Medicago truncatula: one gene and its partners. The main gene of each other region encodes a partner of the protein of the gene in region 2 in a complex. Links are inferred from orthologs where the notes say so. Each region holds a gene or a part of one and is shown on either strand. Other genes may lie near its edges. The genes, in order: mediator of RNA polymerase II transcription subunit 19a, mediator of RNA polymerase II transcription subunit 14, mediator of RNA polymerase II transcription subunit 17 and mediator of RNA polymerase II transcription subunit 18.

The links.
Region 1: mediator of RNA polymerase II transcription subunit 14 (region 2) and mediator of RNA polymerase II transcription subunit 19a share a complex: the UniProt entries of both Arabidopsis thaliana proteins name them as parts of the mediator complex. The link is inferred for Medicago truncatula from reciprocal best matches to the Arabidopsis thaliana genes SWP and MED19A.
Region 3: mediator of RNA polymerase II transcription subunit 14 (region 2) and mediator of RNA polymerase II transcription subunit 17 share a complex: the UniProt entries of both Arabidopsis thaliana proteins name them as parts of the mediator complex. The link is inferred for Medicago truncatula from reciprocal best matches to the Arabidopsis thaliana genes SWP and AT5G20170.
Region 4: mediator of RNA polymerase II transcription subunit 14 (region 2) and mediator of RNA polymerase II transcription subunit 18 share a complex: the UniProt entries of both Arabidopsis thaliana proteins name them as parts of the mediator complex. The link is inferred for Medicago truncatula from reciprocal best matches to the Arabidopsis thaliana genes SWP and AT2G22370.

What each region holds. Positions count from the first base shown.
Region 1 is NC_053049.1:10,410,918-10,418,428, reverse strand, and holds the start of mediator of RNA polymerase II transcription subunit 19a, read left to right. Parts: upstream 1-4,498; 5' UTR 4,499-4,658; exon of another isoform or gene 4,659-4,716; intron 4,717-4,863; 5' UTR 4,864-4,983; intron 4,984-6,290; 5' UTR 6,291-6,335; coding exon 6,336-6,366; intron 6,367-6,798; coding exon 6,799-7,088; intron 7,089-7,237; coding exon 7,238-7,462; intron 7,463-7,511. UniProt on the Arabidopsis thaliana protein: Component of the Mediator complex, a coactivator involved in the regulated transcription of nearly all RNA polymerase II-dependent genes.
Region 2 is NC_053048.1:54,600,897-54,607,780, reverse strand, and holds the start of mediator of RNA polymerase II transcription subunit 14, read left to right. Parts: upstream 1-3,867; 5' UTR 3,868-4,105; coding exon 4,106-4,321; intron 4,322-4,634; coding exon 4,635-5,711; intron 5,712-6,225; coding exon 6,226-6,323; intron 6,324-6,414; coding exon 6,415-6,589; intron 6,590-6,723; coding exon 6,724-6,884. UniProt on the Arabidopsis thaliana protein: Component of the Mediator complex, a coactivator involved in the regulated transcription of nearly all RNA polymerase II-dependent genes.
Region 3 is NC_053045.1:55,066,154-55,073,709, reverse strand, and holds the start of mediator of RNA polymerase II transcription subunit 17, read right to left. Parts: upstream 3,006-7,556; 5' UTR 2,796-3,005; intron 1,121-2,795; 5' UTR 1,020-1,120; coding exon 925-1,019; intron 765-924; coding exon 569-764; intron 31-568; coding exon 1-30. UniProt on the Arabidopsis thaliana protein: Component of the Mediator complex, a coactivator involved in the regulated transcription of nearly all RNA polymerase II-dependent genes.
Region 4 is NC_053043.1:15,752,729-15,760,728, reverse strand, and holds the start of mediator of RNA polymerase II transcription subunit 18, read left to right. Parts: upstream 1-4,992; 5' UTR 4,993-5,138; intron 5,139-6,851; 5' UTR 6,852-6,865; coding exon 6,866-6,901; intron 6,902-8,000. UniProt on the Arabidopsis thaliana protein: Component of the Mediator complex, a coactivator involved in the regulated transcription of nearly all RNA polymerase II-dependent genes.

The DNA of each region.
Region 1 (7,511 bases), on a different chromosome or scaffold from region 2:
CCATAAGAGGTATTTCATTATCTCCGCCTTTACATATGTTCCCTTTTTAGAAGAAGAGTTCCTTCTATTACCGGATAAACCACGATTATCTTACTCTAACATTGCAATGTTTATTGTCAATCCCTCATATGCAAGTAATCCATGAAATTGTAACTCATGTCCTATGTATGTCCTTACACCACAAGCACCATCCCAATATTCTGCCCTTACACATGTCCATTCTTTAAAAGGAGAGTTCCCTTCATTTTTAGGAGAAATCATTTATACCTCATTATGTCTTGTATTATGTTATCCATTCATGTGATACACTTAAGTCATAAGTTTGTCTAACAAGTATATGATGATATTATTGGTATTAATGATTACATATCCTTAAAAGTTCATGAATTGACATAAATCAACATACTTTAAGTTAAAACATACTAATATAATCATATAACTAACAAGTACTGTTAGAAAAACCACTAAAAATGAGGTGAAAAAAATATGAAAAAGGTGTTCTAAGAAGCTTGGTGTCCATGTAAGTGTATGCTCTCAATTTTAAGGTGCCTATCTCCCACAATGCAACACCTAGCTCCCTCAATCAGACCTGCTAAAAACACGATTTTTCTGCATTACATTGAGTACTTTGGTCCTCTAGTAGGCCTATAACAATACTCAAACACTTAAAACCCTGATCTTAATATGAAAATACATTTAATCAAATTTAACATCTATATTTCTTATATAATACTCAATTGATTAACAAATATCAAGAATTCCATCTTTTTACAATACCTTTTTTTCCTTCATAAATTAGGTAAAAGGATTTTTTTTTTTATTAATAAAGTATCATTGATAGTCAATATACAACCATTTCTTAAGGAATTTAAACTCTACACGTTGAGATTACAAGCTAAAAGTCTAGGTTACCTACCCAAACCTTATATTAATACATCATCCATTATAAAACTCAACATGTAATTTTAATTAAAGGGAGTTTCATTTCTAGAACTCATCTACATATTTGAAGAGGGGATATATAAAGTACACATAACTTTTCCTAGATGCATACAAAATACACAAATGCCTAAGGTTGAGAAAACACCCAACCTAAAACACAAACTTTTAATGACATGTATAAATCAAAGATCCTAGATAATTCCTGATAGAGGTTTTGTGGGGAATTCCTATATTACATTTTATTCTTAGAAAAGGGATAAATATTTCTTATAAGTTATAACTTCATCTCCTTCTTCGAACTCCAACTTGATTTCACTTTCTTCTCTATCTTTATGAACCCATAACCATGATAAAAATAAGGGAAATGTTAACTTGTGCCCTCAAGGCACAAGTTAATGATTCAAATATATAAAAAAACATATTGGATTGTGTGTATTGCATTTAATATTTAACTTTTTAATCATTTAAATGCACAAAATCATAGAGAAAGTTTCTTCTTTTGGATTTCTTAACATGTGCCTTAAAGGCACAAGTTAACACTACCCTAAAAATAAATATTTTTAGTGCTCTTGAACCATGTTGTGGTGAGGAAATGATTTAGGTTTCATCTCTATCTTCCATTCTTCTCCTTTATTTCCTCTTAAATTTGCATGCACTACTTCCTACTCTCCTCCTCCATCTCATGGACTTCTTCTATGCATCCTTTTTCTCCTTATTTTCTTCTTTTAGTTCTTCTATTTTCTTTAAGGAGCTCAGCGAAAGACGGAATTAAAGAAATGTGTATGAGTGGTTCTGCTAAAAGGAAGGAAAGGGGGTTGACTTAGTCAACTAATAAGAAGTAAATCACATAGATCCAAGTTTGGGCTTAAGTTTTTAATAAAAATTTCTTTTTCCCATTTTACACATTTATTTTCTACCACCTCACAGTCCATAATTAATAGTAAATATTTATTTGCTATTCTAACATATGAATTTACAAAAGCACATTCAATCGTAGGAAAGCTTTAGCATAACTTAAGCGATGGATAGACTATTTATTTTTCATCACAATTTCAAATAATGTCAAATCAAATAATATATGAAATTTTAAACAATAGAATTTTCAATCACATGTGTATTTTGATGGGAAAATAAACTTGAAACCTTAACTAACTTTATTTATAATAACATTATATATATAATATATACATTAAAATTAAGATAAGATATACTATTTTTGAAATGAAATATAAGCAAAGTGATAAGATATACTTTTTTTATGTATCTTTTATCCCGGAGGAAGAATTGATTGTGGAGTACACAATACATATAATGAATTGGTTCATGTTTTGAATTTAAAGTGTGTATGATGCTAATATTGATATATCTCAAGACATATTAATAACCTTTAATTTAGCGCAACACATTTTTATATCTGTTTATCTAAAAAAAAAAAAACTTCACTCCTCTAATCATTGTTGATTGCAATGAAATTAGTTTGAGATTCAGTACACACTTAAATGAGCATTATTTCTTCTAACATACCAACAACACATCATCTAAAAAAGGCCCAAAAAGATATAGCATTGGCCCAATCCAATTTCATTTTAGATATACTAAAATGCGACTATTATATAGTTAATATAATATTCATATTTGTTTAGAACAAGTGTTTTGCCCAAATGACTATACAATGCGGATATGTCATGATGCAACTAGTAATCAAACACATTTTGACTTTCTTGCCCTAATTCGATCTAAGACACCAAAACCGAAGATTTCAATTCGGCGTTTTATTCTTCGTTTGCCTCACGGCGGCGAACACCAAAGAGACCATATCTTTGTTTTGAAGAAGTTTTCAATGAAAATGTACTCAAGAAAAAACATTTATCCATTGTACTGTCTGTCTTAACGACAAGCATTTTTAGGGTTTGAGATGAATAAATGCTAAATCAAATGTGATAGTCGTTACACACTGTGTTACCGCCTCATACGTCATCCACGCTATTGGTTTATCTCATAGTTCAATGGCAACAAGATTCTTGATGTTGATAGATATGAAGAAAACCAGAATAAAATCTCATCAACGTTGACAAATTATGGTGAGCTCCATTTCTCGAAAATCGACTCTTGATTTATGATAACAATAGGTGATGACCATGATATCTAGTTTCAAGGAATGTTGATTTTGTGAGCAAGATATGAAAAATAATGAATCTAATGATTAATATCAAAATTGATTCATTATTGATCATATTGATTTAATTTAGATTTGATTAGATGAATGCAAAATGGTATCAATTAATGTTGATTTAATTGTGCTACTCTCTTTAGTATTGCTTTGCGACTCTTGTATTTTTTCATCAATTTGATTTTGAACATAATCTTGTAGAAAAAAGTTTGTGAAAATTTAATACAAGATAAAAATTACATAACCTACCTTATTTTTTTATTTTGGATTACCAACGCTCCTTATTTAAGATATACAAATGTTAATAAGTTAGTAGTTATGTTAGTTTTTAAGATTTGAACCTTGGACATCATTCTTGTACTATTATATACGAGTTAACAATTTTTTTAACACCTTACTGTGTGCAAATGATCACGTTATAATATTTTATTATACTACGGATTTAAGTTATCCATAACATTTTTCTCAATGTGTTTTGAAGCTTGAATTAGTGACACAATTCTATCTTACTTGGTTATGTACCACTTCAACATGGTCACTGCTACTATTACTTTGATAATAGATTTGACTCCTCTAGTAGAATAAGTAGAGTACAATGTGATAAAATTAGGTGTTGTTATTTCAATAAATATGAGATGTGTATAATATCTACATTTGATTTAGTAATACATGTTAAATGTTAAATGAAGTTGCTCACTTTAGATGCTATTTTTTTTTCTACACTTTAGAGGAGTTAAAAAGACTGAACATGCTTGAATTAGTTTATTTGAGTTATGCACCGGTCTATACACTTGTGACGCTGTTTGTGAAAACTTATGAAAATAACTTATGACATGTTCATAAGTCGTTTTCGATTTATTTTCACAAGTTCTCCAAAATAGCTTGTAAGAATAACTTATAGCTTATACTAAACCAGTTTAATTTTATCTTCAAAAATAGAAATAAATTGTCCATAGCAATTTACACGATATATTTGAAGTATTTTACCTCATTCATAAACCACGGGCAATTGATATGACAAAAAATGGAGGCTAAACAACTTGTGCTTGAGACAAAAAGAAATTCTATTATGGTTTAGTGATGACAAAATTTTCGCTTGCCTACCAATTTGTCTAATCGCTAAAACAATCAAACGTAATACAACTGAAATTATTCTATCCCATTTTTTTACTATTTTTTAACCAATCAAATGCACCTTTATACTCCAATTTCCAATGTCTTTCTTTCTCTAGAAGTAAAAATCTTACATGAAAAAATAGTCCACCGTTACCCATTAGGGGTAAGTTGACACTTGATCCAATAGCATAGCAATATCAAAAGGGTAAAATTGAAAAATTGTAGAAAATGGAAGCTAAATATATATAAGAGGTGGCAACTAGGAACATAAAAGAATTTTGGGTTTTTGCTCTTTTTCATTCATAAGACTGAGAGAGAAAAAAAACAGAGAGAAAGAACACAACACAATCACGAGTACTACCGAAGGAACAAACACAAAGATTGTTCCAACACTGAAACCTCAACAAAGATCTTTCCTTTATTTGTTTTTGTGAGAACCCTTTAATCCCTTTCTTCTTCTTTCACTGTTTGGATCTGCAATTTTGCAGGTTTCATTCTTTTACACACTATCTCTTTCATGGGTCAATTACCGAATTTTCAATGAATACATAAAAAAGTTACTTTTTTATTGTTATTCTTGACTACCCTGTTGATGATTTTGGCTTATTTTGATGAAAGGTTTCAATTTTGTGCAGCTTTCGAAGAAATTTTTGTTGGGGTGGTTGAAGTTTTGCAATTGCTGGAGGTTTGTGTTTGTGCCAATTTGAAGAAGATTTGGTGGTTTTTGTGGGAATTGAGAATTATTCACTCTACAGGTGGGGTTTTCTTCACTGTTTTGATTGTTTTTGAAGTTGATTTTTTTTAGGGCGTAAGCATGTTTTGTTAATTGCGTTATTAATGTGATGAAGATTTTGTGGTTTTTTGTGGTCTATGTTTTGAGACTTAGATTTTTTTTGTTGAAAACCACTTTTTGAAAAGCTGTTAAATTTTTTTGAACGTTGGATTTGAATATTTAACAATCTTCAAAGGTGGAAATTGAAACAGGATGAGAAACAATTGATGGTTGAAACCATGAAAATTTCTGAAATAAGCACTTTATAACTATAACACATGATTGTGCTGTTTTTTCCCCCTTGGTTCCACCCCTTTTCTTTTCAAAACTGAACCAATCAAGTTCATGTCTTCCCTATTGACTATATGAAACTGAATGAAAAGTAATTACAATTTAGATCATCTAAAGGAGCCGTTGTATCCATGTGAAACTGAATGCTTCTCTTGATATAAATTGGTGCTGGTCATGTGTAGTTTGATGTTTTTAGTCTATCTATGCTTACACAAGCTGAACGTGTTTTTGTTATGCTAGTGTGTAGGCTTGTAACTGTATGAATTTAAGTTATCAACTGTATTATTTGGGTGATGATTCCATGTGCTATTTGGGATTGTCTAGAATTCTGAAGCACCAACACTTTTGATCAAAGGCGTGTCCGACATGGGACATGCAACACCGACACATGTGATTACATTCAATTAATTTAATTTTCAAATTATTACCGGTGCTGATGTGTCACTGTTGTGTCTGGTGTGCACGTTTGTTTCAGTGCTTCATTGGTCTAGAATGATTTTTATGGTCTATGGTTTTTTGGATATTTCAATTTCTTGAAATATGGAAAAAGAAAACGATGTGAATGAATTCTATGGTTCATTTTCTGTTTGCAGATTATTAGCTTTAGGCATGGATTAATATTTTCTGTTGGCCTTACTGGGAACACTTGTTTTTCCTAGTTGGTCTTAGATGGCGTTTTGCTTGAATGCTAGGGCTTCTTAAAATATTGATAGTCTCCTTCAAAGCTTTTAGCTGTACAACAATGGTTGCGGGTATAGAAATACTTTTTTCCAGTTAGTTTGTTTAAGTTTTGGGGTTTGTGGCACATGTTAAATGTCTTTTTGAAATGGCTTAGAAGCCTTCTTTACCGTAATTTAAGAGGGTAGCTTGAGAAAGAATGATTTATATAATTTTGTTGGTTTTCATGTGACAAATGATGATTTTTATATGGTATCATCTGTTTCATTATGTATTCCCTAATAATTTTGTAAACATTCTTTTCGTTCCAATAACCGACAGCTTTAATCAGGTTCTGTGGAAGATTGAACCATGAAAGATTGAATCATGGATCCTGAAGGAAAAAAGTTTGGAGGAGGTAAAAGTTTTTTATGATAGTGCTTTATGATAGTGCTTTATGTTGTATACCTAATTCTATAAAATCTTTATTTGATGTCTCTGTTTTGTATTATTGTATATACAAGTCCGGATTTCATATGTTTATGGCACTGACTGTGCTTGTTATCTAATTGACAATACTGGGTTAAATTTTTAATTATTTATTCGTGATTTTAGTTGTTTATTTGCCCTTTTGGCAGATTTGAAACTTTGTCAATTATCACCCGTTCATTTTTTGGGAATTGAATGGAAAACATTAAATTCTATTAGCATCTTTTGAAGATTTCCGTGCAATTATCCCTTTTTAAAGTTTTCTTGTGTATATTTTATATTTAGCTAATACTTACAGTAAGTCACTTACTCATCAAAGAAAAACTGTGTTTTTTGACATTCTGTGTTTTTGAATCCTCAGGACCGAGGGAGTTGACAGGTGCTGTGGATCTCATAAGTCATTTCAAATTAATACCGCACTATGAATTTTTCTGCAAGAGGCCGCTTCCTGTGTCAATCGCGGACACACACTACCTGCACAGTGTAGTAGGAGACACAGAAGTAAGAAAAGGAGATGGCATGCAATTGGATGAACTCATTCAGAATACATCTTTCTCAAGAGAGACAAGTGCTCGGATACAGCCTTTCGACTTGGATATACTCAAGGAGTCTTTCCAACTAAGGGAAACAGCTCCCATCGATTTGCCTGCTGTAAGAAATTTTTAGTGATTTTGATCATACTTAGTTTTTAATTCTTGCTGAAATCATTCAGCATGCTATCTTAGTTTTTGTTAACAAAGTTTGATGATGTGTTCTTTGTGGACTTGTATCTTGATTGTTCCTTGTATTTTCCCTAATAGGCGGAGAAAGGAATACCAACAATTGCAGGAAAATCAAAAAGTGAGAAAGACAAAGAGAAGAAGCATAAGAAGCACAAAGACAGGGATAAGGACAAGGACAGGGAGCATAAGAAGCACAAACATCGTCACAAGGACAGAAGCAAAGACAAAGACAAGGACAAAAAGAAAGACAAAAGCGGGCATCGTGATTCCAGTGCTGATCACTCAAAGAAACATCATGAAAAGGTTGAAGAAATTTAGTTCGCTGCATCTATATTCTTCAGATTAAGAGAAA
Region 2 (6,884 bases):
TATGCACGAACATGCTTTGAGTTTTTTGATGCACAAGTTAAAAATATATATTGCATTATTCTTTATTTCATGTGCATAATTTGGATTAGGATACATACTTCATCACTATTTGGAAAACAACTAAATTCAATCCTAACCAGTTTGGATGGTATTATAAGAGTTGCACCAAATGTTCGAAGACATCAATGTCAAATGGTGCTAGCTATAGATGCACATGCGGGAGTGATGCTTAATTTCCATTTGTTTCAACAATGTTAATTGGTCAACGGGGTTCATATAATGCACATACATGTATTTATCTAGACTTTATAGGAAGATAATAGGAAGATAAATTAGAAGTCATGATACATTTTCTTTAGCTTAAATCAGTTAAGCTACCTTTATTTTATAAATTATATGTAACTATATTCGCATGCAGAGAAAGTATAAGTGTCGTCTCATTACCGCCGAAAGAGCAAGCTATGAAAAATACTTGGGTGGGCTATGGATCAATTTCTGCAGAGAACGTGTGATGATAGAAGGTGGTAAGCTCATATTTGGTCTCGAAAAGTCACCGAAGAACTTGCACGTTCGAGTTGTTCTAAAGTAGATATTTGCTGCTGAACTATTTGAACTTCTACTATTTTGACGTATCGCTTTGGACTGTAATCGTAAACTATTTTGACTTTGGGATGTCATTTGTTCTTTTCATTTTGTCTGATGTAAATATTGGCAAAAATCTCTTTTTAGTTAGTCTTTGACACTTGGAGTCTCTTTTATAAACCTAACTATTATGTAACGTTAATCTGCACATTATTGGTTCCTTCATTGGTTCAAATTAGTATCATGTTAATTATAATGTTGTTTTCCTAATCTTTTGAACAAAATAGAACATGCCCTTTTTCTACAGCAGATCTTTATAATGCTTTGGAACCAACCCATACATATTTTATGATGAATTATAATGTTCCGTCGTTTTAACATATCTTCTTTCGATTTTTTTTTTTTTTTTTATCAAAAACGTTATTGAACCCGTGCGAAGCACGGGTTTGTAACTAGTTTAATAAAAAAATTCTAATGGAATTAAAAAATTGGAAAAAAAATAAAAAAGCCAAGTCAACATGCCAAATATTCAATTTTATACAGTCAGCGTCCCATGTCAGCTTATGTGCACAGTCAGATTGGTTCAGGGGTGCAAACCAAAAAATCTTCATTTTACAAGGAAGAATCTCCAAGTTTTTTTTTATAGGGGAGTATACCAAAAGACCCCCATATAACAGGGGGGTAAAAGCCTATTAATCTTTTTATTTTTTTATTTTTATCAAAGCACAAAAGATCAATACACCGAGAGGGAGCTTGTACCCTTTATAAAACAAGATTACATAAATGTTTTTCTCGGGAAAGGCAAATGAATGCTATCTCTCCGGAGAAAAGCAGCAAGAAAAGGAGAATAATTACTCCAATATTGAGAAGAAAAAAACAAGGGCAAGCTTTGACCATTTTTGGTCAACGCATCCGCTGTCAAGTTTCTCTCCCTTGAATATGAGTACAAGATGAATTAATCATTCTAGTCATAACCATGCAATTACTCCAACGGATCCTCAAAGGCCAAAGTACAACAAAATTGGAGTTGAAAGCATTAACCAACATCAAATAGTCGGTGTTAATCCACATGTTTGCCAACTACAAAAACTCATTGATCGGTCATCTTGACACAATTATTGAGAAAACAAGTTATCACATAATCGAGATAGGTTCTAAATAAAGTTGAAAATCACAAATATGTTTAATTGAAACAAATAATGATGTCTGGATTACAAGATTATTGTTCAACAAGGAATAAACGTCATTTTGGGGATCATCCAAGTCAACAAATTTAAATGTATTGTTCAAGATGCCGATTCAAATATTCTCATCATCGAGAAGGAAACCATAAGATTTGAATTGACGAGTTTAACGACAATAAGGAAAGATTTGACATTGTTTAATAATTGTCTAGCACGCTTGGTGTTGACCTCAAATTTGTTGTGTAACAAGTAAAAAGTGGTGAATCTAATACATTGAAGAGGAGTAAACTCAAGGAAAAAGTTTCATAGTAATTTTAGAAAAATATATATAAAAAGAAGGTTTCCAAAATCGTAAAAGTAACCTTATTTAAGGAATGATATTAAAAAGGAATGTCTAAATTTGAAAATAAACATATAAATAAGAGGAGTTTGGATCCTATCTTATAAATGAAGATTGCAATTTGGTAAGAGATATAAACAAAACATAAATTGTAGGTTCTACCAACAAGTGGGTTCCATTATCATTAATTATTTACAAATTTTATTGTGTCTTTATATCTTCAAATGGAATAAATGGATGAGATCCAAAATAGAGAGATCTTAACTCAAACGAAAGGACAAAAAGACATAATCGAGCAATATATATATAACGCATTGTTGTCTTCTTTCAATCATACAAATGTCGCGTCAGTACCAATTTGTCCCCACTATATTGAACTATGAATCCCCCAAATGTTTTATTCCTCTCGACCAACCTTTGTAGTTTGATCTTTCTTTTCAAAAAATATTTTGAATAATCTAAGAAAATTAAAATATTGCTTTTAATAACTCATGAAAATCATTAATTTTTGACTATAACGGTCAAAATACATGCAAATGAAGACTTTCTTGCAAAATTAGATGACTTCTTGCAAAATTAGATGACTTCTTTCAATCATACAAATGTCGCGTTAGTACCAATTTGTCCCCACTATCTTGAACTATGAATCCCCCGAATGTTTTATTCCTCTTGATGTAGTTTGATTTTTCTTTTCAAAAAATATTTTGAATAGTCTAAAAAAATTATAATATTGCTTTTAATAATAACTCATGAAAATCATTAATTTTGATTATAATAGTCAAAATACTTGCAAAACTAGGTGACTTCTTCTTCTAGTTGGTTGTTTGCTTGATAATGTCATTAGAAAAACAAGTCAAAAAGTTGGATTTGGTTCTTAATAAAGACGAAGATCATAAGGAGTTAATATGTTGAATTGAAAGAAACAATATTACTTAGATTCCACGATTCACGTTTAGCATTGAAAAAACACTGACTCAGGTAATTAAATTCATTGTTCTGGATGCTAATTATCACATACTTACCATCGAAAAGGAAACCTTATTATCGAATCGATGAGTTGGACAACAACAATGTTTGACAAAGGCTGTCAAGGGTTTGATGACAACCTTAAAGCCAAACTTAACAAATTAAAAATGACAAATCTTAGAGAAACAAATATTATTAAACTCATATAGTAAAAATCTTCACCAATAAAAAAATAATACAAAAACTGCAATAAACTATAAAATTAACCTTATCTCTTCTAGTAATATCCCTCTAACACGTGATCACGTGGAAGCCACCGTTGTAATCAAAGAACTAAAAAGATAAGTAAACTCGTATAGAAAAATGAAATTAAAAACTTATAAAAACGTTAATATTTACCTTATTTATCTTACTTACAACATTTGTATAAAATGTGATCACCATATAACCAATAATTAATTATTCTTTAACGCCATTGCAAGGCCGAAATTGCAAGGCCGGACGTCATGACCCGGGTTCGAACCCGGGATCTCACAGTTGTGTGTGAGTTTATTTTCAGTGGATTACCACTTCATCTAAGACCAAAAAAAAAATAAAATTATTCTTTAACGCATTTTAAAAAAATAAAATAAAATTCTTTAACACATGTTCCATAAAAAAGTTGCACCAAATAACATTAGCTATCAACATCAAAATCTAAAATCTAAAACACATTGAGAAGAAAAAAAAAAAGGTGTAAGAAAATCCAAGTATTTGTTCAAATAAAGTAATATATAAAAGGAGAGAGAAACATGAGAGAGCACCGTGAGACACAAGCCCAGAGATAGAGTGAGAAAGCGAGAGAGAGAGAGAGAGAAGAGAGAGAGTGCGGAATCACGAAAGAGCGCGTTCTTCTTCTTCTTCTTCGTCTTTCCTTTGCTCCTAATTGACAACGGTTCAAAAATTAACCGTTGTCTTTTTGACCTAAAACCCTAATTTGATTTCGATGCATTAACAGATCAAGAAGAACCCTAGAATTGAACAATCGAAATCAATGGCTACGGCGGAGTTAGGGCAACAGACGGTGGAGTTATCCACCCTCGTTACTCGTGCCGCTCAAGATTCATACAATTCGCTTAAAGAGCTTGTTGATAAATGCAGGTCCACCGAATTATCCGATTCCGATAAGAAGATTAGCATGCTCAAATTTCTTACCAAGACTCAGCAACGTATGATCCGTCTCAATGTCCTCTCCAAATGGTGCCAACAGGTCAATTTTTTCATCTCATTTCTATTTTTAATCCCAATGTTATTGAATTTCATCTTTGTTATTGTTTATTGTGTTACTAATTGTTATGTAATGTGTGTGTGTTATGTTATGAATTTATGTATGATATGATGATTGTGTTGGTGGGCTCTTACGAGTCCTGATCTTCTTTTAATAATATTTGTTATTAAAAATTAAAAATAAAATTGTGTTGGTCATGTATGATATGATTATGATAATGATAACATTTAGTGTTAGAGTAAGAGAAAGAGAGTTTGTATATGCGATGATTTGCTAATAATTTGTGGCTTTTCAGGTTCCTTTGATACAGCACTGTCAGCAACTGTCTTCAACTGTTTCGAATCACGACATGTGTTTTACTCAGGCTGCGGATTCGTTGTTTTTCATGCACGAGGGGCTTCAGCAAGCTCGGGCTCCGGTTTATGATGTTCCATCCGCCATTGAAATTCTTCTCACGGGGAGTTACGAGCGTTTGCCAAAGTGTATTGAAGATGTTGGTTCTCAGTATGCTTTGACCGAAGATAAGCAAAAGCCTGCTTTGAAGAAGCTGGACATGCTTGTTCGGTCCAAATTGCTTGAAGTTTCTCTTCCCAAAGAAATTTCTGATATAAAAGTTTCCGATGGCACTGCAATGGTTAGGGTGAATGGAGAGTTTCAGGTTTTATTGACACTTGGGTACCGAGGACACATGTCCTTGTGGAGAATATTGCATTTGGAGCTGCTTGTCGGTGAAAAAAATAAAACTGTGAAACTGGAAGAACTACGGCGACATGTGCTTGGAGATGATCTAGAGAGACGAATGGCAGCGGCCGAAAACCCATTTTCAATATTGTACACAGTTCTTCACGAGCTGTGTGTTGCACTTGTCATGGACACAGTAATAAGGCAAGTGCAATTCCTTCGACAGGGAAGATGGAAAGATGCAATTCGGTTTGAGCTCATATCTGATGGTGGCTCTGGTCATGGGGCAAGTTCAAGTTCTGTGCAGAATCCTGACGGGGAATCTGATTCGTCTGGTCTACGAACTCCGGGGTTAAAAATTATTTACTGGTTAGATTTTGACAAAAATGCTGGTGTGTCTGATTCAGGTGCTTGTCCATTTATAAAAATTGAACCTGGACCAGACCTTCAGATAAAGTGCACCCACAGTATCTTTGTCATAGATCCGTTAGCTGGCAAGGAGGCAGAGTTTTTCTTAGACCAGAATTGTATTGATGTAGAGAGGCTGCTATTAAGAGCTATTTGTTGCAATAGATATACTCGGCTATTAGAAATTAAAACAGAACTGATAAAAAATGTTCAGGTCTTTAGAACAGCAGATGACGTTGTGCTCCAGTCTCATATGGGTGAACCTGATATTGAATATAAGCAGGTTAGATTTATTGAAGAAATTTTAAAGTGGTAATTTGCATTGGGCTTTCTGTTAAACGACTCTTTTGAGGGGTTTTTAATGTCCTTGTTTGTTGTCACAGTTTTAGAGGTTTTACTTCACATTCTTTTCGTTTCATAGAACTCTACTAGAGTTCTAATTCTGAAAGTTCTGATCATTGTTATTTTCTTTCTTGTTTAGCATTATAGCATACTAGCGTTGCAATTACTTTGCTTCATAATTGCTCATGCAGGAAATGTTTGTAGTTTTGTAAACTGTGAATCTGGTATCTTGTATCTGCATTACCAGCCAATGGTTTGGGGTTTACTTTGTTGATATGCACGTGTTTTTCAGTGCAATACTGTTAACCACTTGACCAATAATCTATGCCATGCTAACTGCTGTTGCAATTTTATGTTTTCATTTATGGCACCTTATGGATTTTCTGTGGGTAATCTTATGCATACCTTTATTTAATCTTGATGGGTTTTAAAATTAAGATATGTTCTGTCTGTAGAAGGATAATAAGAGATGCGATAAGGATTCTGAGGGGAACGAGGTACTGCACGTGCGTGCTTATGGCTCTTCTTTTTTTACTCTTGGAATTAGTATCAGGTACCTTATTTCACTCACTTGTTTTTTTTTCCCTAATCTCTTGCATTTTAATCTAGGCATTTTCAAACCAATTTCCCTGTTTTTTATTCAGGAATGGCCGATTCCTTCTTCAATCATCACAAAATATAGTTGTTTCTTCTGCCTTGTTAGAATGTGAAGAAGCTTTAAATCAGGGATCTATTACTGCAGCTGAAGTCTTCCTAAGCTTGAGAAGCAAAAGTATGTTGCACTTATTTGCATCTATTGGAAGGGTTTTGGGCCTTGAGGTACATTTTCTTGTTACTCTCTCCATTTGTGTTTCAAAGAAAAATCTCTAAATCAGTTTGGACTGTCTTTTAGCTTACTTTTATTCAGATCACCAGCTTCCCTAAGATTTATGGATTATGGGCCACCCTTGCAGGTTTATGAGCATGGATTGAACACAGTCAAAACACCCAAAACCTTGTCGAATGGTTCAACTGTGCTGATGATGGGATTTCCAGACTGTGGAAGCTCTTACTTCCTGCTTATGCAACTTGATAAAAATTTTAAACCCTTGTTTAAGTTGTTAGAGACTGAACC
Region 3 (7,556 bases), on a different chromosome or scaffold from region 2:
AGCCACAGTTACTGCATCGTTGGTTTCCACCTAAGCAGAATAATTTCAACAAAACAACATACCTTTATTGTCGGTCTGCACATATCATGCAATATAATGAACTGGGCCATAGGAAAAAAAATCTTGAAAAATATCTAAAGCATGGTTTCTACTCATAATGCCAAAAACTTGGTCATTTGCAAATAGATTCATCAAGACTATATGAAGTGATACATTTCTTGATGAACCCGGAACTGCTACTTCTCAAAGCATTGTAAGTTGACATTCATAGACATTTTCTCAACACTTAATTTCATCCCTGGATGAATGACACAAACATAATTTTCTTAAGCCACACACTGTTTCTTTTCTTTTAGAGCAAGTTCCAAATGGAGCTTTTATAAAAGATAAAATAAAAATGGAGCTTTTTTACAGACCTTTTTCAGAAACCAAATAACTTCAAGCAATTATCTTCATTGTTGCAAACAGATATGCAGAGAGAAATTTGAACTTGACATGAAGATTTCTGAATGTAGATGAAATCATAAAAAGCGGTGATTCATTGTAGAAAGAAACATGTGCGACTCACAGTGTTGATGAAATCTATGATAACAGAGAGCTCCTGATGAGCCAACTGCAAATTCTCCACCATGCCCTGCCATTGCCATGGTGTTGTCTCCTTTGAGCTCTTCTTCTGCTTCTTCTTTTCCTCGTCCTTCTCAATGGCCCAAGCGAAGTCAATTCTCCTGATTAGAGAAACTCGCTTTTCATCGTAATCCACATCTCTGCAACAATACGGAGGGAGTTACAAAAAGCCAAGCACAAATAGAAATTAGGGTTCAACATTCTTATGAGAGATAGCATAACTCTAGGATTTTTCCCCGAGCGTTGCACAGGTTCTCAATACTAGTTGAGAAATAAAAAGGAGGAGAGGAAGAAGCTTACAAAGGGAATCGTTCATTTCCATTTTCTTCAATGGAATCCAAGCGCTTGATCGGCAGCTTGTCAAGGGATAGTTGCAACTCCATGCCCTCTTCCATCTTTTGGAAAAGTTTGTTTGCCCGAAAAAATTCCACAAAACCTTCCGTGCCCGCAAGAAAATGTGGGTGAGACCAGACAGTAGCTTTAAGTCCAAGCCTAAGTGAATAATAAAATAGTTCAAAAACTTATAATCAAACAATAGAAATAATTAGAAAAGTAAATCTTTACAGAGTTTGAAAACAAGAATTTTATTTACTTTTTAACATGTTTATGCAATCAATAGATAATTACACTTACAAGCATTTAAAATAAAATAAAAATTTAGGGTAAATTAGCCACCAAATTATCCGTTGAATATATAATTTGAATATTTTCTTACAGGTAATAAAATATTTGACAACCTGTTAGCAATTAACCAGTGAATATGTTATAATCAATCAGCATGCAAATGCACGTACAAGTTTAAATCCAGTGAATCAATTTTTAATGCCTATTAACACTTGACAATGGCGACCAGTCATGCAAGAAGAGAACAACGCTAGCAATTGATTAAAATAAAATCCAAAGAAAGACAATGGTTTCCGCAAACAGCATTTTCACATCACAGAAAACTGGAATCAGAGTAAACACACCAGTCCAACCATCCACAAAGGATTGCCACACCAAGCACCAAGTACCACTGACATCAAAGTATTTATAAATTTCCAAAACATAGATCAGTCTCCATACCAAGCATTAACAAAAATTAGCCTCGGGTGCAAATAAAATGGTTAAGCAATTCAAAATGAAATTCAGCACTTTTGTCAAATACTTAAGGAGTAACCAAAACAGCAGGTACTCCTAAAATTAGAATAAGATAAGTATTCACATATTTCAAGCAGTTTATACAAATGGAAAATATCACAAAGGAGTGAAATTGGAAGATATAAAGTTGGTTTGGTGGTTGAGGTGGGGGAATTAAGCAGTGAAGAATCATTAAGTTGGGTTTATAAGGTTGACTTGGTGGTAGGGGTGTGTATGTTAAGGAGTGGAATGAAAAGGAGGTCGAGACTTCGATCCCTACCCCAAACAGGGGTGGAGGGTAGTGTCTCTTTGAAGATAAGGTGATAGTTCAGGGACAAAATTGATGGTTTATTATTTGTTTGTTCTAATACGTTCTATTTTTTCTTTTACCCCCCCTTTTAAAATTGTAGTTTTTCCACAGTTGCTTACTGACACTACTATAATAAAATCGTTTGATTACAACAAAAGGATTGCAGCGGTTCTTGCACAACTGCCGCTGCTTATTGTTTGCAGCGGTTAACACGACTGTTTTACTTAACCACCGCAAAGTTACAACGATGGACTGTGCCGCAAAATACTGCAAAATGTCCCGCCGCAATATAAAAGCAGATTTGGCTCCCCCAAATAAGTCAATTTGTGAAAAATTAGAACAAACAAGAAGGGCAAAAAATGACAAGTTTAATGGAAGTGCATCAACTGTGTAAAATAGTTTACACCGTCATCCAATAAATGCCCATCATCTTGCCATGTAAACATAGATTATAACTCTAGTTGAATAAATTAGATGCAATGTGATGGAATCATGAACACAAACTGATAATTCAAGCACTTCAGAAGACTATAGGTTGTGTGAGTATTTGTGTCAAACATTTGGTGGGCAAACAAATAAAGAATAAAAGTACTTGAATTGATGAGCAATGATAAGAATTTGTGGTAACAAACTAGAAACCCAGAAAACAAAAACCAATAAAACACACATAATGGTGAACAAGAAAACGAATCAACTGTGGGAATCATAGAAGAAATCGAAGCAGAGAGAAAGGCACACATACCTTGGAGAGCTGTGAGTGAGACGAGATGTGTGCGTTTCGTAACAATGGAAGTTAAGGATTTAGTGTAATTGTTTAGTATGCAACGAGATAATTGAAATCAAACATGTCACTGAAACCCGCTGCTTTTCAATTTCAGGGTCTTCGCTATTGCAACGAGGGAAGAAAGAAGAAACCCAGAACTTGAGAATTTAGACGACAAATTATTATTTTTTTAGGTAAAATATGTTTCTTTTTTTTTCAACTATCAATATATTAGTTTTTCGTTTTAATTTATTTAAAAATTCCCTTTCACTTTTAGCACCTTGAAAATTTTTCATCACTTGTTTTGATCCATACTTTTAAATCAACTAATATGTAGTTTTTATATTTTTGAATGAAATTATGCAAAAATGTCTACTATAATATTATAATAACAATCACCTCAAAAAAATTAGAATTTTTTAATAAAATATTAATTAAATATGAATTTTTAAGTGTTCAAAATATTAAAATTTATATTTCATTCATGTTTTATTAAAAATCTATTTAGTTTGGAGAGATTATTATAATATTATACTTCAGTAACGTAAAATTTCATTAAAAATATGAAGTCTACATATGAGTTAACTTAAAAAGAGAGATTAAAAGTGGTGAACTAGTGATGAAAAACTTTTGGTGTACTAAAAGTTGAAGAAATTTTTTAGAGGAGCCAAAAAGAAAATTTGATATATTTATAGTTGAAAAAACATATTTAACCCTTATTTTATTTTTTTGATATAAAAGAAGGCCAAAGATGCCCTAATGGTTAATCCTAGTAAAAATGTATCACCAACTAAGAAGATCTTCAAGACTTCAACTCATCTCAAGATGAGTAAATTCATACTCTCTCCGTCCCCTTTTAACTGAGTATTTTGTTCATTTCACACATATTAAGAAAAAGTGTATAAGTGAAAGATAGAGAAATAGTTTTGAGTGTCTTGTTAAGTATCGGTGCATTCCTTCTTATCATAAACGCAAAGTAGAATATATTGAATTGAGAGTGATTAAAGTAGTATTAATTTGAATTATAATTGGAAAAAAGTAATTATTGTTGTACCGAAAAGTGAAATGGGTCAATTTTTTTTGGGGCAATATTTTTATGCAAATGGCTTAGTTATTATGGGACGGAGGGAGTATTCTTTAAATTGAGATCAAAGTTTGCAGGTCGACGATGTACATAATACTTTCTCTTGCAAATATGGTTGAATTTGACGTGTCAATCCATTTTCACTAACACTCGAAGACTAAGGTTGGCAATGTGTGATCGTCAGTAATCTCATGTGTAATAGTAATCTCATGTGTAATTCAATTAATTATGACTTTGTGATCATCCGTAATCTAATGTATAATTATGTCAATTATAACTTTAAAGTCCCTCTACACCACAAGGTTTATGACTCTATCACCCCAAATTATCTCAATTTCATGCCACAATGCTCGCCAAATGGGAGAAGGATCTTCTCCATTTATTTTAACAAATGGAGAGAGATGCACACAAAAGGTTGATAGTGGATCCTACAACCATAATATTAAGAAAAACCATAATATTAATTTTTTTGAATTGTAGCGTAAAATTAAATTATTTTTTTCTTCCCTTTGATCGTACTCCATTCAGCGTGTGTTTGGTTGTGCGGTGGAAAAAATTGATTTTGATAGAATTGATTTTGGTTAAAAGTGAGTTGAACGTAAAGTAATTTATGTTTGGTTACCTTCAAAACAGAAGTGCTTTGTATGAAAAATGTTGTTTGGATGTTTTGTGTCAGAATTGCTTTTAGATGTGTAAAAGATCAAAATGGGCTTTAACATGTGTCTGTGTATATAGTTATAAAATTTGACATTTGTTTAGTTTTTTCATCTATTTTTTTTTTTATTAAATTGACAATAAAATTATAAGCTTAACATAAATTTATTTTTTTAGGGAAAGATTAACATAACTTGTTAATCAGACAGTATCCAAATAAAAATACATGCAGGGAATATACGTTAAACATGAAGTACTCAATTAAAATTACAAATAGAAAATATAATATAAAGTGTGGTACAAGTTTGAAACATTAATACAATACTAATTATTTTTCCTGAACTCTATAATTTGATCTCGAACATGATTCATCTCAGATGAAGAAGCTATATTTAAATTTTGAGATAAATCCAAATTAACTGATCTACGATAATCATCGTGATCAAGGGTTATGTCTTCATCCTCATATCGATTGAAATCAACATCCATATCAGCATTCCTTCTAATAAAGTTGTGTATGACAATCAGAAATCATGGAATTGCATCTCAATAGATATTGTTTTTAAGTGTAGAAACACAATGAGTGTCTTAGTAGGCCACCTATCCGGTCGTGATTGTGTCCTTGATTTCTGGGTTTGGAGCTGCTGTAGCAACTGCGCTTTTGGTGTTGTATCAGAGGGATGACAGCATAATTTTTTGCTATGGTTCTGTTTCTGTTTGGGGCGCTGATGCATCAGCTTTCAGCCTGGGTGCTTGCTTGTTTGCTTTGGGTGGTTGTGATATTTTTTTGGGGTATGCATGCGGTCCCTTTGCAATGTAAATAAGTGCAACCCACATGTTAGAACAATAAGAAATCATAATGTCACACAATCTACTGTCACAAGAAACATGCTTTGAATGTCACACAATCTACAGTCATAAGAAACATGCTTTGAAACATAAACACTCAGTCTAATGCATTCAATGAGTCCTAAGTAAGAGGTGGTAAAAACTGCTTTGAAAAAACCAGTAAAACTGAACCAAAAGGGTGGTAAGAACTGAACAAGAAAACCAGCAAATCAGAGCCAAAATACCAGTTAAAATTGAACCAAAAAATAGAGCTTATACATAACCAGTTAAAACTGAAATAGAGCTTATGGAGGATGGGTGAACAACATAAGTGAACAAAAAATACAAGCATAATTATCACACAACATAAGCCTTCATTAAGGTATAGAAACATTACATAAGTTACTAGTACTTCATAATAGTACTTCATAGTTACTAGCACTTCTTAGATTACTTCCTAATTAAAAGGCAAAACATAACAGTACTTGATAGTTACTAGTACTTCCTAGATTACTTCTTAATTTAAAGATAATGGAACATTACAACATTAAAGACTAAATAATATAACAGTGCTTCATAGTTACTAGTACTTCCTAGATTACTTCTTAATTCATAGTACTTTCTAGCTTACTTCCTAGTCACACAGGTTCCAAGTTACATATTCATGAATGGCAATGGGTTATCAACTGCATGCTTAAGTCAATTCAACCTTTTCTCCTCTGAACCTCGTAGGGAAATAAAAATCTCCCTTGCAGGCTTAAACATCATCAATTGACAACACTGAGTGATGACATGCTGTCATTACGTAATTTTTAGGATTTATTTTGACAATTTTGTTAGAGTTCTGTGCAATATGGAGTATTCAAGGGTGTTAAAAGCAAAGATTTTAGAAGAACTGAAAGCAACAAATCGTGTCACGATTTTCACTACCGTGATGCGATTTTTGACCAGAGAGGCATGTTTTCGAACTGCTGAAATCGTGGTACGATTTTGAGCAGCGCGCTACGATTTTAAGGAAGGATCTGGAAGGAATTTAGGGTTTTGAAGAAATCGTGGTGCGATTTTGCCAACCGTAACGCGATTTTGCGCGCATCCAGATTTGCCTATTTAAGCTGAAGTCAGTTCCAAACATAAGGGTGACGATTTTGGAGAGCTAAAGTACGATTTTAACACCCAGAAGACTGCATAAGGGGCGATTTCATCATCTCTAATCCAGTTTATGTATGTTTTAATTCTTCCATTGATTATGCTATTTGTAAACTCAATTATGAGTAGCTAAATCTCTTAAAGATTAGGTCTGAGATGAATCCTTGTAACCCTAATTGATCCATGTTGCTGTGAAACTCTATTTATTATTAATGACAATCTAGTTTTTATTCAATTTAATTGTTCTTAATGCTTTTTATATTATGATCAAATATAAACATGATTTAGTGAGAACGAATGACTACTGACCATAACTTTCGATTTAGACCTAATTGAATTGTTCTAATAAACATGGTTAATCTAGGAATGGATAATCGTTTGTTAGTGATATTAGGTTAACGTTTTTAAAACATTCAAAGATTATTAGTCCACCTAAGGAATTAGGGGCTGTAGTTTGAGAAGAGGGTCCTAACTCAAGGGATTGATTAGAGCTATTTTGTTAACTATCGTTGAATTAGAGAATCATTAATACAAATAGGTGCAGTATACCAATTAGGGGAACATCGATGATTCAAAAGACCTAATCTCATCTCTCTTTTATTCTTAAAACCAATCTTTATTTTCTGTTATTACTTATGCAAACAACCCAATCAACTGCCTAGTGGCAAACTAAAAGAACATTTATACATCCTAATTTACAACGTAATTGAATTATTGAGATTAAAATCAGTCCTTGTGGGAACGATATTTTTACTACTTCGATACTTTTGGTACACTTGCCAAAAATCTATCACTGAGCATGCATATAAAGATCATTTGAGACTTCAACAATGGTGTCAACACTTTAAAATATATGTGCAGCGAAATATTTTGCTTCTTGTACATACGCTCTTATCACTGTTGTATATATGTGTAGTTTATTACCTTTGGATTGGAAGTGCTTGTTACTTTTATCAACACAAACATCATTTAAGGAAAAATTTACCAAAAACTAAACAATATTTCTTCATTCATTCATTTTATCAAAC
Region 4 (8,000 bases), on a different chromosome or scaffold from region 2:
ATGCTCTCTGCCTTAGCTCGCTATGGCGAGTAAGGTTGCTCGCGGTGGCGAGCTGCGTTGTGCAACTCGCGAGGCAAGGGAAAAGGGTTCGCGAGGCGAGCGATGAATGTTCATCACTCGCGAAGCGAGATTCATAGCTCACCGTGGCGAGCGATGAATGTCGCTACGGCCAGACTTCCTATTTTCACAAAAATTCAACGATTCACAAGGTTTTAAGCCTAATATTGATTCCAAAGTTCGTCCTAAACATTATCTAAGGTCTAGAAGCACTTTCCACATCAATTTAACCAATTCCTACCGTTTGATCATCAATTCTAGGGATTTGACCTAGTTTTCGTTTTCTCCAATTCAATCCTAAAACTTGCTAACTAATCATCAGAATTACAATCAATTAACATTACTGAGTTATTAGTCTCACCCTTACCTGGTTATGAAGAAATCGCAGCTCTCTCTTTGATCTTCTCCCTTCTAAGCTTTTTCTCCCTTTTCCAAAAGTTTTCACGTACAATAGTTTTTCTAACAATTAGGTCTTCCCCTATTTATATCTCTTCCTAATAACTTATTTTATTTCACTTTCTCCCCCAAAACTATCTAAAATATCAAAACAGCCCTCAACTAAATATTTTTATTTTCTTATCAAATCTTATTTTATTTAACAATAAAATTAGTCTCATAATCTTATCAAATCATCAAAACACGTCAAATCTTTCAAATCAACTTAACTCTTCTAAATTCAACAAAACTCACATATATATTATAAAAATATAATATAATGGCATAAACTCGATTAAATAATTAATTAAATGAAAGTGGGCGTTACACTCTCCGTTCCACTAAAATGATGAGTAACTTTACAAAAGAGATATCAAAAGGTTACAAGAATTAGTCTTCAAACCTAATTCTACCCAAAGTCCCAAATCTCTTCCTGTGACCAAGAGACTTTATCCTAATAGTGTTTCTCCACGGTGAATCAACGGTGATTTAATCCCAGCCCAAGTGTTTGTTGCCAAGACAAACTCTAGTTTTGTTGATCTAATATCTCTCTCTCTCTCTCTCTCTCATCTAATACAAGGTAGGTTTATATTTATAGAGAAATATAACTCATAAATTTAGAACGGATATCACGCTGAAGATACGTTTCTTTTTTTCTCCTTCAGCACAAAATATATTTGCATCAAATATCCCCTTTAAAAATATATTTGCATCAAATCTTCCTTCATACGGTACAAAAATATATTTATTGCCCATAAATATATTTTCAGCAACAAGTTTTTGGAAGCACAAAATATATTTGAAACAAATCTTTATATTTTTAGCAACAATATTATTCATCCATCAAATTTTAAGTCAATTTCAACATGTACTAAATCATGATCGATGGGATCTTTTGAGCCTAAACATCATCCATTGCCTGTTATTTTCTTTCTGGTGAAGTGTATTCATCCATGTGTTCATTTCTTGAGCTCGGCTTCATTCTCTACTAGCTTATTGGTTATACATACACATTGAGACAATTTTATTTGTACCTAGAGCCTTTTCAAGCCACCATGTATAATCTTAATTATTTTTTGATAAACCACCTTCTACATTCACATGTATCCTTTCTTTTTGTGACAAACTGCATTACAAGACGAATATACCTAATGCTTTTTATTATATTTACCTTTTATGGACTTATGTAGAAGCGTTAAATTACTTATCATGGTTGGTTTTAAGTTTGGGGTTGCTTCTCAAGATAGAAACATTCTAAGTTGGGGTGCGGTAACAAAAATCTAAGAGACGCTCATCTAAATAAGTCTCTTCAAAAACAAAAGTGATTGAAAAATGAAGGGAAATAGCCATTATCTCTAAAAAAAAAAAATGCTGTATTCATAAATTATTAAAAACTTATATTTGTACCAAATTTGAAAGGCATGCTTGCTTGGTTACTTTTAGTATTTTTGCATAGAAGGATAAGTAGTGGATATGTAACTCCAACTTTAACCTACTTTCCCAAATTGTCTTCAAGTTGTATATCCAAGTGGCATGTGAATGTTGACGGGGTGATTAACTTTTTTCAATGATTGAGTGGATCAGTGAGGTTTAGAAAAAACCTGTCTTAGGGTGATTTCTTTGGACCTACTAAATTGAATTATGGAGAACCGGATGGGTAAAGATTCAAGGAGATTTGTTATTTTATTGTAGATTTTTGATGCACGGGTATGTTACTTGAGGATAAGCAATACTTCTAGTGTGGGGTTGTGAAGCCAGACTCTCATACCATGCTCTTAGGGTCCTTTAGAAGTCATTTTACGGTCATTTGTAAGTTTGTTTTAGTACGATTAGCAAGAAGTAAATAAAGTAGCATTGTACTAAATATATGTAAAAAAGATCTTGAAATCTGCTCAAATTCACCCCAACCAGACAACTCCTCGGTCATGCTATGATTTTTACAAGAGCAATCAAGTTGTCTATTTGGAGTATAGCCATCACAGACGTTAAAATGAAGAGAAACGGGGAAAAGAGTAAAAGAATATGAGTAAGGCGTGCTAATCTCCACATGACCTCGGAGCGGTAGTTTAATCATATCTAGACTTGTAATTCTAAGAATGGAGCGATACCAATGGCATATAAAAGCTAACATTCATATCTACATCTTTCATGAAGTCGCCAAAGTTCAATTCAGCTTACAAATTGGTAAAAAAAATGCAATTTTCATATGGATAGGATCAGTATTGCAGGCCCAAAATGTGCAGATACTACCTCGTGCGTGATGCACAGAATGCAATATTGTGCGCATTTACATACATTTTTTTGAAAAAGTGGAATTTGCGAATTCTATGAAAGGGCCACGCCCGTAACAGAGCCAAAATCTCATTTTCTATGCGGGGGAGGTTATGGAAACAACTTGGAAACAAGATTTCATCAACCACTTCATCATCTATTGTAATTTCTTAATCTAGTTGTCATGTCTCTTTTAATTATGAGTAGCTAGAATTCTTTGATTTTGTCATATAGATGCACTTCTTCCTAGCTATATAAACCATGTAATCCAGTTTATCACTTTTTTATGCAATTGAATTCATAGTATTTTTCAGTTATTACTTATTCTTAATGCATGTGTTGGATGACTATTAATCCTAACTTTTGATACATGGTATAGGATAATTGTTCAATATGTAATATCATTAGATGTATTCTAGTATTGCATTTGTGATATTTGTTTTGACGTACAATCAAGCCTTTAATGATCACGAATTTGCCTAGGACATTATGGGGTTGTGATCATAGAAGAGGGTTATAAACGAAATTGGTCATAGCTATTTAGTTAAAACTTCGTAATATTAAAGAATCAATTGAGGTAATTTAGGCATGGTACCAAATACAAAAGACTGGAATAAAAAAACCTAAAAGAAGGTTTGACTTTTGACAATGGTGTCAAGATTTTTGAATTTTCTGTCTTTTATTTCTATTCTCTTATCAAAAAATGTATTTGATATTGCTTTTTGCATAGGCTTCTGGGCTCTTATTTGGGTTGTAAGCCCTTTTTATTCAATTTTCATTTTTAAATATTCAACTAAAAGATATAAAAAAAAAACAATTATTTTGTTTAGTCGTTGTGTTATAGTCCTTTAAATACCTCGAAAATTTTAAATACATCTACAAATATTTTGGTTGTTTGTAATTTTATGAACTAAATTATCAATAAAAATTGAGGATAAAAATGGCTAAATATAAACATAGATGATGATATGTTTGCAATTTCGATATATTAGGAGACTATGAAGCTTTAATAACTAGATCTCACACATTGAGATACCAAACATCCGTTTACCAACATATTTTTTTACTTAATGAATGATTATGTATGCTATAACTAGTCTGATTCACTGCGAGTTACAACTGTTCAATCATAGACTCAACCAAGTCGAACTGGATTTCACAGAGTTCCGTGCATATTCGATCATTTGAGCTAATCGACCCTCACACCTGATTCCAAGTTCAAGTTTTAAAACATTGGTTATAGAGATGACCCAAACGGTGATTTTTTTTTTTGTTAACTCAAAAAGGGACCTTGGTAATTCAAAGTTCCACCGAAGCATGTCCAATAATTGTTCCATCTAAAATCGAACTTAGGCATGTCCAATAATTGTTCCATCCATAAATTGAACTCAATAATTAATCAAATTCAGGTTTTCGTTTGTTGAACAATTCATCTTTGGTGGAGTTTTTTTTCTTTTTCTGACAAAAATCAAACGATATTCATTCATTTAAATTGATATGTTACATCATTCAACATCGCTAAAAACATAAATTGATAAATCTACCAACAAACTCACAACATTCAAATTAACAACATACAACACCAAAATATTTACAAATAATATGATAAGATTAAAGTGACTTAAATATTCATATCTCCACATCTGCAACACACGTCCAAATCATTAATTAAATATGTGATGTTTCAATAGGAATCAAATGAGTACGGCAACAAAATCAAAAATCAAACAACGCCACACAAAACGACGTTATTAACCATTTGAAAAAAAAAACTAAATTTAAATAAAAAATCCCTTATTTAGATTAAGAAAAAGATGAAGAAAATTTTATTAATCATTTCAAGTAAATGTAATATATATCCGAGTCTTGTTAACAAATCTCTCAAGACACTCTTTAAGGAACTCAAATTAAGAAAATATTTCTCAAAAAAATCAAATATTACAAATTTTAATGCATTGATTACACATATTTTTATAAAAACTTTTTTCTGAAAGAATATTTTTATAAAAACTTATTATTAAAGTTGCTTAAAGAAGTCCCGTGAGCATAGCTCAGTTGGTAGGACAATGCATTGTTATATGCAGGGGACGGGGGTTCGAACCTAGACACCCCCCACTTATTCACTTTATAAGGTAAATTCTAGCCACTACACTACCTAAAAAAAAAATTTGCTTAAAGAATGCAATGACACTCGGTAACCTTTCTTATATTTATCTTGTCAAAAAAAACATTTCTTATATTTATATTATTAAATAAGAAAATTCCCATGGTTGTATAGATTGTAAAAGAATTTCTTTTGACACCTCGCTCGCTATCCGCCGCACCCTCATCCTCTCCGGAACTTCTGTTCGTCTTTTGAGCTTGACTACATTCAGGTTCGTATTCCTTAAATTTGTTCATTGTTTCAAATTATTACCCCATTTTCGTATTTCAATGTTTTATTTCAGTCAAATTCATAGCTAGAATTCAAAACCGAATTTCCCTTTCTCTTTCTTAGTGGAATATTTTTTATGAATGAAGCTGTATTATTTTTGTGGGGTGTATCTTATATGGCTGAATTTGAATTAACACAGAGAATTAATTTGAACTTTTACACTGATTTTTTTCACGGTCTCTTTTAATCAATGTAATCTTTGTTTTATTAGTGACATTGATAATTTATTATTTTACAAGTGACAGATCCCGTAAACTCATTGTCTTAAGGTTTTGGGTAAAAATGTGGTGTCTCTATCACTAGTGTGGTCCTGCTACCCTCGTGACCTAACACAAAGTGACAACGAGACGGTGATTTGTGAATTAAACTCGACTTTGGAGGAACCCGTGATCCTATAGATATAGAAAAAAAAATGTTAAAATGAATAATTGCTTGTTTAATTATGTTATATTCATTTTAAGAGGATAACACACACGACTTAGCGTCTCAGCACAGAGTAGCGGTTGTTGAGGCTGCATTCATCATCTCTCGTTTGCGCCTTTTGCCGCGTGCAATCCACTTTTTACTACTAAAACCCTAAAATAGAGCTGCTATTAGCTTATATGGGCTTTTGCTCGAGACAATAAAAAACCTTACCTCCCTTTTTCACCGTCGTAGTCTGCTGGTCATCTTGCACCATATTTTTGCTCTTGTAAGATGATGTTTTTGAAGAAGAAGAATAAGAAGGGGAAAGATGGGACTGAAGAATTGAAGAAATAGACTCGTAGAAGAAGAAGAAACAGTGGCAGTGTGTCTTTTGAGTTGCTGCTGTTACATATAAATTTGAAGGTTACATAGCTGCAGTCATGAACCTCAACTAAAATGCTGACCTTTTGCTGTTTTTATCTTTGTTGAGAGTTGGATGACAATTGTACACTTAAATGCTGTCAAGTGCCCTTTTGTTCATTTACTTGATTTACGAATCATTCTGTTCAGTTATCTTTTTTAGACTCTAGTTCATCAAATAATTTACGCAGTCATGCTGTTGTAAACTAGTTCTGATTATTGAAAACAAAACAGCTTCCCAAGTTAGTTTTTACTGTAGCAGAACTAATTCTTAAGTTATTAAAGGCCATTTATTGCCTGGATCTGATAGTCGGTTAAACATTTTTTCAATTCTTTTTCAAAACAGTTCAATATCAGTCCAAGCAACTGCTTCAGGAATTGTCCGCAAGATAAGAACCATTTTTTCAGTTGATTTCAGTGTTATCAATTGCGGATTGCGAAAAATAGCAGTTTGTTCAGTTCCGCTAAGCTCCAGTGCAATAGACGCTATTTGATTACATTTTTTATTTAATAGTGTATTGTGGAACAACTGCAATTTGTCCAAATTCTGTTATGCTATAACACTAAACACTGCTATTTGTCAACACTGGTTGATGTCAGAAGCAACCAATTTGGTATGGCTGAACTGTATTTTCGGATCAGATCAAGAAAAAGGATTAATATTAATACTCGTGAAAATGTTATAATATTAGTGATGGTCTAAATTGGAGTAAGAATTAAGTAGCTTAATTTCTATTTCGGTTATATATATATTGGTTTGTTCTGTTGCAATTGCAAATTTTAAATTATACAATGTAATTAATTCCAAAATATCTATTGTCTAATGCAGTTGAAGAAGCAGATATGGAATGCGTGGTTCAGGGAATTATAGAGACACAGGTGAGTGAGTTTGTATCTTCATTGAAGTTTCAATTATTATTAATACTGTTATTTAAGAATAGAGGTTGTTATGGAAAATTTGATTTGGCTTGACCTTTATGTTTGCCTTCTGCTGTTAGAATTTTTGGATTCTGCTTGTGTTGGTTACACTGATCAGAAGATTCCGTAATTCTCTATCATATGCTAAGTTCAAAGATAGATTGTTTACTTCTAAATATCTTTTAATTATTGTACTATCTTACATCATGCTTCATATTACAGCTATAATATCTCAGTCTAGTCACTTTTTTTGCAATGCTGATAATGTTTATTTGAATTCTACCCATGAAATGTAGTTTTAAGGTTCTAGTAATTCAAATGCTTTCGGAACTATGGCCAAATATTGAGTGGCTACCTGACTAGTTTCTCATAATTTAAGTCACTTTTCTTTATGGTTTGTTATTTGTGTTCTCCCAACACTGGGGGTGTTGGTTGCTCTAATATTGAAATTCACTTCTGAAATAAAAAGCAGAACCGTTTTTCGAAATTTTCTTTTATAATTAATTATTTAAAGTGTCATACCAAAGGATCCTGTAAAATCATGTTGCTTGGCTGATGTCCCAACTTGTAATATGCATCTTCAAAGTTTGATTTTCTTTGCTTGCCTACGAAGTGGATTTTGTTTCTCATTTAAAAAAATGGGGTGTCACGATGAAACAGTAAAATATATGTTAAAAATCCCACAAACATTGTATTGACATTACATTATGTTATGAAACATGGAAGGCCAGTGTGTGGCCAAGTTTTGATTGATGGATGTATTCAGGAATGATGTGTGTATCTCTGCAAGTGATATCCTTGATCCTTGCAAAAGGTTAGTTGTAGCACTAACTCGCTTTCGGGTGTTTTAAAACATGAGGAAAATGGATAGAAGCAAACTTCTTTTATCCTTAACCTTACACTATGATTTCTATCAATAATTAAAGATTCATCACAAGTCTCACATTTTAAATACCTTGTGTCCATCAAAAAAATATTGCAGAGATAGAGAGATGTCAACTATATTATCCAAGTAGGGAGGACAAGATGCTGGTATGCTTTGGGGGTGATATGTGACGGA